Tribolium castaneum: one gene and its partners. The protein of the gene in region 1 binds, or shares a complex with, the protein of each later gene. Links are inferred from orthologs where the notes say so. Each region holds a gene or a part of one and is shown on either strand. Other genes may lie near its edges. The genes, in order: eIF3j, eIF3g1 and eIF3k.

Region 1 (3,536 bases):
CCTTATCCCGTTTCCTATCTTTCGACCTATCCCGAGTCTTAGATTTGGCCCTTGGCCTACTGCGACCCTTCGATTTCGACCTTGACCGGCGTTCGCGCGACCTTGAACGCCTCGTACGTGAAACCGAACGTTTCCGAGAGCGAGACTTCGAGCGTTTACGCCGGTCACGTGATCGTGAACGGCGTGAACGTGACGTTGAACGGCGACGACGTGAACGTGAACCACGCGAGAGTGACCTTGAGCGTGAGCGGCGTCTACGCCCTCTAGATCTTGAGCGGGAACGTCGCGAGCTCCTTTTATCTTTAGTTAGCATTCCGATAACTGGCTCAATCGAGGCATTGATCATGTTTTGAGCCTCTTTAAAGCGAGACATTGCTTCTTCAATTTCCTTCTGAGCGGCTTCGTTACTTTTGGCTTGGGGCTTCATGATTGGTTGAGTGGCGTGAATGATTTCCAGCGGCTTGCCTTTGAACTCTTCACCGTTCATTTTCATGGCGTTCACGACGCTTGGCTGTTCCGTGAATTCGATCAAAATGTGCGTGGTGTTGTCGTTGGGGCACTCACACACTCTCAAATACTTCACTTCACCGGCTTGTGAAAAATACTGGATTATCTCATCTGTGGGTATGGCGGGGTCAATATTGACCACTTGGACCGTTCGACGAGTCTCCTCGACTTTGATCGAGTCGTATTTGGCCGGCAAAGGGGGATAGGGGGCGCAGCCATTGTCAGTCAAATGGGGGTCATTTGTGACAACAACGCGTTCCTCGCCTGTGCCTTGGAACGAATTGGAGACATGTGGGGGCAACTTTGGCTCGTTTACGTTAAACCCGGGGACAATGGTCCCGTTACGGGTCATCTCCAGAGCGTAGTACTCGTCGGGGATGTCCCCGTTGATCACAGGGATGACAATTAGGGCCCGGTCGATGAAAACAGTGTTTGTCATGTGTTGGGCTACACCTACCGTGCTGGAATCCACGAATTTAACGTAACAAATCCGGGACTGGACAGGACAGGAGACGTCTCGAATCGTGGGGTACAGGCGAATGTCTTCGATTTTACCCAAGTAGCCGAACAGCGTCTGCATCTGGTCCTTGGTGGCCTGGGGGGCTATGTTGGTCACCTGGACCACCTTAGTGTTACCCACGACCATTTTCACGCACTATTTTAACATTTTCCAACGAGTTTAAAAAACGTAAAACGACGCACATTGACAAGTCAAATGACAGCAAGTGTCGCCAACTATTGTTCAATGATGAAAAACGCGGTGAAAAAGCAATTTATGGCCAATCGTCCTAATTAAAACTTTTTATGACTGTCCCAAAAGGATAATTTCAAATTATTTAAAATCTTTGGCGTTAAATAGCCTGTAAAACTTGCACTTTGGTTGTAATTTGGTGCCTTAATTGTGTGCCGGTTGGCAGGCGTAGTTGGTTTCTGTCAAGGGTGAGATGGGTGTTCGAGGGCTATTTTCGCTCGTGAATTGTTCAACTTCGCCTGATTTCGCTGACTTTTCATCTTGCAAGAGACATAAAAAGCCGAAACGTATTGTTTGATACATCTACAAATCGGTGTACTTGTGGAAGCTTCGAGAAAAGATAGTGTTTGGTTTGGTGACACTTTGACAGTGTCATCTGGCGGTTTCTGGTGCAGTTGCACGTTATTCAGCACACGTGAATTTCGAGGTTGAGGTCGTTTTGTGCTAATTTCGGCCGTATTTTCGCCAATATGGAATCGTGGGGTAAAAATTTAGTCAATTCTTTCACTACTTGAGCGAAAATTTGACATGGGGCTGTTTCAGACGACGATAACTTCGAACCTCCATCTGTTACACCTGTGGTTGCGTCCAACAAATGGGAAGGCGAGGACGAAGACGACAACGTCAAGGTAAAATGAGTGAATTCCTGCCAAAAATTTACCATTTTCCTGCAGGAAAGCTGGGAGGATGAGGAGGAGGAGAAGGTGGAAGCGGCGCCTGCCGAGGAGGCCAAACCCAAGCCCAAGAAGCAGTCAATCGCTGACAAAATCGCAGAGAAAGAAGTGGGTATCGCAATAGTTGTGACAAATCTAATTTCTCCTTATTCAGAGAAAGAGGAAGGAAGAAATGGAGCGGAGGCTGAGGGAGCAACAGGAGGAGGAAATCTCCCCGGAGGAGAAGCTCAGGATGCAGAAGGAATCGGACTTGAAAATAGCGCTAGAAACGACGTTTGGGGGCGACACCAATAGCACAAACATTTCAGGTTTAGACGGACTCACGCTGCCAACTACTAAAGAAGAGTTTCAGGACTTTACAGACGCTCTCTCTAAGAAGCTCCAACCTCTAGCTAAAAGCACAGAGTATCCGGTGTTCACCGAAAACTTACTACGAAATCTGTGTGCCACTTGTACGTCTCTCGTTTTAATTTAAAACAGCGTTAATGATGAATGTTCTTGCAGTGTCCTCATTAGATATTAAGAAAATTAAAAATACGTTAGATAATTTATACCTAGAGAAACAAAAAATCGAGAAAGGCGAGAAATCGAAGAAAAACAAAGGCAAAGGCAAGGCTAAATTACGACTGGATGATGGAAATGTAAGTTGTGGTTTTACAAGTGTTTGGGTTAATTTTTTTTGCAGCCTTTGTCAGCGTATGTTAACGACTATGACGATTACGACGACTTTATGTAGCAGATTGCAGCGGTTTAGATAGGGTTTTAATTTTTAAATAAATATCTTCGATAAATATAAATATTGTTAAATTATACGGTATTTTTAAAAAGGTGTAGTGTAATGATCATGCAATATGGTTAATAATTTTTACTTTTTTTTCACCGTTTTGTGTTTTTCTATACTAATGTAACGAGTCATTATTAATTAATGAGTTGCTGGTTTTTGTTGCTACTGATATAGAAGTTGTATTTTAAGGCGATTATTGTATGGATTTGCATACAAGTTGTATTCAATGGATTTGATGCAATTATTGTTAATATCAATATAATTTTTCAAAAAAATGATTGCGTTTTATTTAAAAAAGAATCAAGTGTCTTAGACACAGAGTTGCCACACGCACGCAATTTAAATCCCGTCTACGCCGTTCTGACGTGTAATTATTACACATTTATGCTGAAATTTATTATAGAACAAGTGGACCCCGCTTCTATAAACTTTTTGAGACCATAATCTATTTTAATGTTGAATATTTAAGTACCGTTGTTGGTATTCCTGTCCGAGTTTCATCACAATATTTGTTGTAAAAATGGCAAAATTGGTGCTTACCTCCACGATGACACTATGTAAACACTGATTCATTAGACTTTTCCCGATTTTAAACACTTTTTAAAACTAAACACAAACACCATGTTAACTTTTTTGTCATAAAAAGCAAGCGTCTTTAGACTCAGGGCTGCCACCATGCCACACACACTTGATTAGAATCCCGCCTTTGTAATTACTCGAAATTCCACTAAAATTAATTACACAACAAACAAAAACTGTCTTGGGACACATTTAACATGACTTTAGTCATTTAATACGGATTTAAAATATTTAGTGACAA
Region 2 (2,928 bases), on another chromosome or scaffold:
TTTATTTTATAAATTGTCCTAATTTATATACAGGTGTCTCAGTAATGTGAAAAAGTCCATTATTGGCTTAAATTTTAGAAAATTAATTTGACTCACCTAAAATTATTTTCAGGTATTATAGGGTATTTTTGAAATTAGCTAAAATGCAAACATATGTTTTTTTAAATAGAACACCCTATATTTTTTTGCACTTTTATATAATTTATAATAATTTTCAAAGAGGACTAGATTTTTTTTTGATTTTTTTTTCAGTTTTAAAAATTATTTTCAGAATTAGATAAAGCAGTGACCGCATTTTAAAAAACTTTCTCGCCTACAGCCCGAGTAAAAGAATGTATCCTGGAAATCAGTTTAAAAAATGTGCTGTAGAACACTGTGGAATGTGACCAAAATTCGACTCTTTTTAGCTCCCTTTATTATAGTTTGGAACACATTTCTTTGGCAACCCATTGAATACATCCTTTGGATATTATGTTTGATAAAAAATAAGTTTCATCCAGTAAGCAGATCGGTCCAGGACGACCTTAGCTGGGATCCTCTATTAGCAAAATCAAATTTTTTAAAATCACGTTGCTCAATTTTTACATATTTCTCTGAATGGACGAAAATTTAATTAGATCTAATTTAGCATTCCCTTTATACATAATCGTATTTTTATTGGATTTCAGAGACATTTCAAGTTATTTTAACTCAATTTCTCTTTTTTATCTAAGGCGGCGCAGAATGTTTCTTCTCTAGAAGGCTGTGAAAGATTTTTTCTAAAGCAACAGAATCGTAGCCGTAGCCTTCTAGAAGGATACCTAAATTTTCACAAATGTCTCAATTGGCGACAATACATTTATAAATAATAAGCTGCATTTCTGCACATCATCAGAAGCAACATGAACCAAAATATCAACTATTTTAATGTAGGTATACTTACGGCGTTACACAGTTGCGACAGAAAGTTTCACAAGCAAAAAAACTTTATTATAGCCAATAAACGGATGCAAATTTAACACTCCCGACACAAATTTAACTAATTTAAGAATGCAAAACATTAACTATTGGCAAAAGAACGCAAAACACAAGTCACACATTTTCTGTGTACAAAATCTAGTAGTTGATGGTTTTCAAAGCCACCTTTCCGAATAAGTTTCCCAATTTTAAAATTTCATTACAGAATCCTGTAATTATGTGTTTGTGGGTTTGTAACACGACAGCCCCGTTTGTCGGGGTTTATTTATTAATCGGTTTATTAAATAAATTTTAAAATACATGGCTTTATTAAATATCAACAAAATTAAATTGTATTGCAAAAAACAAAAATAAATAATTTGCAACGAAATTCCCCAAAGGTTGGCGAGTCTGTTGTTTGACAGTTTGAGGTTAACTTTTGTGAACGTGATTGTCGCACCATATTTTCCAAAAAAACGTTTCAAAATTAGCTAAAAATGCCTGTTGCCGAAGAGGTCAAGTCCAGCTGGGCTGACGAGGTGGAGTTGGAGGGCGGGTCGCTCCCGCCCCCGACCGAGGTGTACGAAAACGGCTTCAAGATCGTGACCGAATACGCGTACAACGAAGACGACAAAAAAATGAAAATCGTGCGGACCTACAAGATCGAGAAGCGCGTCGTTTCAAAATCGATCGCTTTCCGCAAGACTTGGAAGAAATTCGGCGAGTGTGCCAACGACAAGCCTGGCCCGAACCCGGCCACCACGATCGTCGCCGAGGACGTGTACATGCAGTACATCACGAGCAAGGAGGAGGACAACAAGCAGGAAGACGACGCTTTGGAGAAGCTGAAGGCTCTGGGCGACAAGAACGTGGTCAAGTGCCGCACCTGCAGCGGGGACCACTGGACCTCCAAGTGCCCCTGGAAGGACACCATGCTGGCCGGGGGCAAAGTGCCCGACGACAAGAAGGGCCCGGCGGTTCCGTCAGGGTCGGATGCGGGCAAGGCCGGGGGGTCCAAGTACATTCCGCCGAGTTTGCGAGATGGGGCCGTCAGGAAGTCCGATAATCTCAATATGGCGCGCAGAGACGACGCCACGGCGATTCGAATCACCAATCTTAGTGAATCTACCACTGAGACTGATTTGGAGGATCTGGTGAAGCCGTTTGGCCCGATCCAGAAGTTGTATTTGGCGAAAGACAAACAAGCCGGTTATTGCAAAGGATTCGCTTATATTCATTTCAAGTTTAAGAACGACGCTGCTAAAGCCATTTCTATGCTTAATGGACACGGTTATGATCATCTTATACTCACGGTGGATTGGTCTAAGCCACACCCTAATTGAAATGTATTTTATAAGTTTTATTTGTATTGAATAAAAATGCTTTAGCTAATGTTGCGTTTTTTCAAACCTACAATACAACAAAATACGTAGACATTTCAGTTTTAAATAATTCGAACAGAGGTGAAGATTGGTACAGGTCTTAGGTACACTATTAAAATAAAATATAGAAAATTCTCAAGTGTTGAAACTATCAGCTCTTAGCATTTTTCGCGTAAACGGTAGGTAAACATTACGGTAACTTCTCGGAAAAATAAAAAATCCCAAGCAATTGAGTTTTTTTAACTCGAGAGGTTTGTAAAGGCATACAATACCTGATAGAACTTTGCTAAAGCTAGTTAATTGTTTTGTTTTTTTTGAAAAGGTAAAAAATCTTAGACAATAGTTTAAGAAGTCTGCAAAATATTAACTATTGCTGGCTAATTTAGCAAATAAATAAGGTTGGTTTTTGGTTATAAACTAACCAATAAAAATAAAATAAAAGGTTAATAAACTAACTAAAAGATTTATTAACCAATCAAAGAACCTTCTGGTTATTTAATATTAATAAGTAATAACTTGACTGGACAATAATTAAAATGCGAATATAGGATTTTCCTTTTATTTTTTTTTCGATTTTGCTTTTTAAACTTACGTTTATTTGTGTCAAAAC
Region 3 (2,858 bases), on another chromosome or scaffold:
TAAACTACTTTTTCTGCGAGAGCGCCGGTTTAAATTACTTTTAAAGGACCTGCGGTGTTTTTTTCGAACTCTGGTCTTGAGAGTTTGGCATGAAACACTAGAACTAACCATCTTCCATATTGTATAACTTCATTCGCAGGACTGTACATAGAGGGGGTTCCCATCCGAAACAATCACACGAATACAGATTATTACTTCTGTAGGAGACGAAACAAGATATAAAATAAAAGGAAGAAATTTATATTTTCCTTTAAAAAGTCTGGGAGACCATCAACGGTTTGAGTGCCAAAGATATGGTGTCGCGAATTTTTTGATAGGAAATTTAATTCTTTACAACGTTGTTCCTTACACTTTTTTGTATCTGTAAGCGTATTCGCAGCCTTTTGAAAAATATGGGACACAGTGCCAAAAGTTTTAATTTATTTAAAATATAATTTACGATAAAATTTTTGCATTGTTTGTCTTACTATTGAAATTTAATCCCCAATTTGCTTGTATTTTTTTATTGCTGTGTGTTAACTATTACACAAATGCAACCATTTTTTCAAGTTCATTGCTCTGAAAACTCAAGTAACTGCGCTCTCTGGTGATATTAACGGAACTATCAAGGACGGGGACGATTTATTTGGTCGTTTCGTATCCTAGCATTTAGAGGTCCGTAGACACGAAGTAGTTTTATTTTATTATTGAAAAATTAAAATACAAATCAGCGACATGAAGCCATAATGGCTCCGACATTTTCGAAATCGATTTTCTCGTTAATATTTTTAGTTTTGATGTTTTCGTCTTGATTGGCAATGAAAATCAACTGGCCCTGTTCCTTCCATCCATACTTATTGACCCAGACTTTCAACGTAAGGTCATCAACGTCTCCCAATAATTCGGCCAAATGGGACCTTTCAATGGTCTGATACGTGATTCCAACTACGTGACACACAAATTTCCGGATTGAGTCTAAAAATCCGGTAATTCGTTGGGTCAACTCTGGCATTGAGTGGATTCTGGTCCAGAACAATTGAAAATCGCACTGTTCCAAAATGTCGGCCAAGTAGATAATTTGGTTGATGGGTTCTTCCGCCAGCTAAAAAATGTTTTTTTTTTGCAAAACAAATATATTGACTGAATTTATTAACCTGTCGTTCGTTCAAAAGACATTTGCACAAAATAAAATTCGTGTTTGGAAGGTTTGTCAAAGCCTTGAGCAGGATTTGACTTGTGATGTCGATATTGAAGCTACTAGGGTTAAATTGGTACAATTTAAGGACGGCCAAGTTAGCCTCTAAATCGTAGGCATTTTCGCGCGATTGTATCTCCACGTAGTGCTCCAAAGTCGGTAAATTATCAGGGTTGTACCTGAAAATAGAGGTTAAGTCCAATGCATGGTAAAAAAACGTAATAAAAGAATAACAATACCGTTCAATGCCTTTAAGCATTGCTGCCACAGTTTGTTTCATTGCTTCGGCCATGGTTTTCAATTTGTTTTTCACTAAAAAATGAGAAAAAAGCACAACTTTCTCAAAAAACACGTCTTAATGACGTTTAAAATTCAAAGTTTTTGGAACAGAGGCCGCTGTAAGCGATAGGGAACTGTTGTTTTATGTGTTGCCTACATTTTAACTACAGAGTGTTTCATGTCACTACTTATTTTTTGCGGTTCTCATAGAATTTTATGGATAATTATACAAAAAAACTAAATATCATTCATATTTTGTGATTAAGATAATTACATAAATAAATATAAATTCTATGATAAGATTAGTTGCTATAAAAAGTCTGTGTATACTGTATATAAATATATCAAGCAGTTATTCACCACAAAAACAGGTTTGAGTAATTATAAAGAAAAGTAATATTACGCAGCTACTTTTTAAACTGTACAACTAGTATTATAATAATTATTGCAACTATTGCAAGTCCTATCAGTACCATGAATAGCAACTTGCGCCTATACTTATTCTGATAACTCGCTGCTGTAATTAACTGTTCTGTCGCTTCTTCCACATTGCCAGTTGCATGGTCTATGCTATTTTCAATAGTATCTTAAAAAAAGAGTTGATTAATCTCCCGATTTTTTTAAAAGTTAGCTCAATACCGATTGTTTCCGCTTGGGCGTGCACTAAGGACCCCAATTCGCGCATGATTTCGTTAACATCAAGTACATCGGCTTCAATTTGTTTAATCCTAGCTTCTCTCTCCATGAGCATATCTTGCTCAAACGCCATTTCGCGTGCAAGCTGAGCTTGCCGTTGCTGTTCTGTGTCTTCTTCCGGCGTGTAGTCATTTTCTATGCTTACAGAAACCAATAAATGTGATTTCTGCTTGTTGGCCAAGTCCTTTTGTAAGGAATAGTAGCGCGTGATCGCTTCTTTAAAATTCTCTTCTAACTTTTCTACTTGCAACTGCTGCTGTTTCTCGCTTTTGGATACAAGTTGCTTGAGCTTGTGAATGTCTTTGCTTGTGACTGATGCGATCTGGTTTGTGCTCAATTGAGTGACGTGTCTAGAATTAGGGAAGTGATTGAAATTCCAGAAGGGAAAAGACTTACATTGAACTTCTTAATCCCTGATTGTCTTTTCTGGTTCCGATTGTTTTTAAAGCGTTGTCTAAGGTCTTGAGACTTGAGTTGATTGTGTAAATGTTTGTTACGACGCCATCGCATAAATTATTGAATTCGGGGGAGCGCTTACCGATGAAACCTACGTCAGTGGACGCAGTAGCACCGTAATTGTAGGGATGTTTACTCATTGTTGTCTTCGACGCCCCTTTTCGTTTGTGATTTGACGTTTCGTAAACTTAAAACTGAGGTTAGGAGTAGGAAAGATCAGGTGACTTATTGTTATAACAAGGGGGTGAGTTCA

The links.
Region 2: eIF3j (region 1) and eIF3g1 share a complex: the UniProt entries of both Homo sapiens proteins name them as parts of the eukaryotic translation initiation factor 3 (eIF-3) complex. The link is inferred for Tribolium castaneum from reciprocal best matches to the Homo sapiens genes EIF3J and EIF3G.
Region 3: eIF3j (region 1) and eIF3k share a complex: the UniProt entries of both Homo sapiens proteins name them as parts of the eukaryotic translation initiation factor 3 (eIF-3) complex. The link is inferred for Tribolium castaneum from reciprocal best matches to the Homo sapiens genes EIF3J and EIF3K.

What each region holds. Positions count from the first base shown.
Region 1 is NC_087396.1:21,286,976-21,290,511, reverse strand, and holds eIF3j (eukaryotic translation initiation factor 3 subunit J), read left to right. Parts: upstream 1-1,413; 5' UTR 1,414-1,728; coding exon 1,729-1,741; intron 1,742-1,801; coding exon 1,802-1,887; intron 1,888-1,932; coding exon 1,933-2,040; intron 2,041-2,086; coding exon 2,087-2,384; intron 2,385-2,436; coding exon 2,437-2,573; intron 2,574-2,617; coding exon 2,618-2,668; 3' UTR 2,669-2,912; downstream 2,913-3,536. Other genes in the region: Srp54 (probable splicing factor, arginine/serine-rich 7), read right to left, coding at 1-1,153. UniProt on the Homo sapiens protein: Component of the eukaryotic translation initiation factor 3 (eIF-3) complex, which is required for several steps in the initiation of protein synthesis.
Region 2 is NC_087395.1:17,787,838-17,790,765, forward strand, and holds eIF3g1 (eukaryotic translation initiation factor 3 subunit G), read left to right. Parts: upstream 1-1,316; 5' UTR 1,317-1,433; coding exon 1,434-2,279; 3' UTR 2,280-2,328; downstream 2,329-2,928. UniProt on the Homo sapiens protein: RNA-binding component of the eukaryotic translation initiation factor 3 (eIF-3) complex, which is required for several steps in the initiation of protein synthesis.
Region 3 is NC_087402.1:8,161,710-8,164,567, forward strand, and holds eIF3k (eukaryotic translation initiation factor 3 subunit K), read right to left. Parts: upstream 1,574-2,858; 5' UTR 1,467-1,573; coding exon 1,414-1,466; intron 1,354-1,413; coding exon 1,134-1,353; intron 1,082-1,133; coding exon 707-1,081; 3' UTR 662-706; downstream 1-661. Other genes in the region: gem-associated protein 8, read right to left, coding at 109-118; Syx13 (syntaxin-12), read right to left, coding at 1,861-2,039, 2,093-2,499, 2,546-2,745. UniProt on the Homo sapiens protein: Component of the eukaryotic translation initiation factor 3 (eIF-3) complex, which is required for several steps in the initiation of protein synthesis.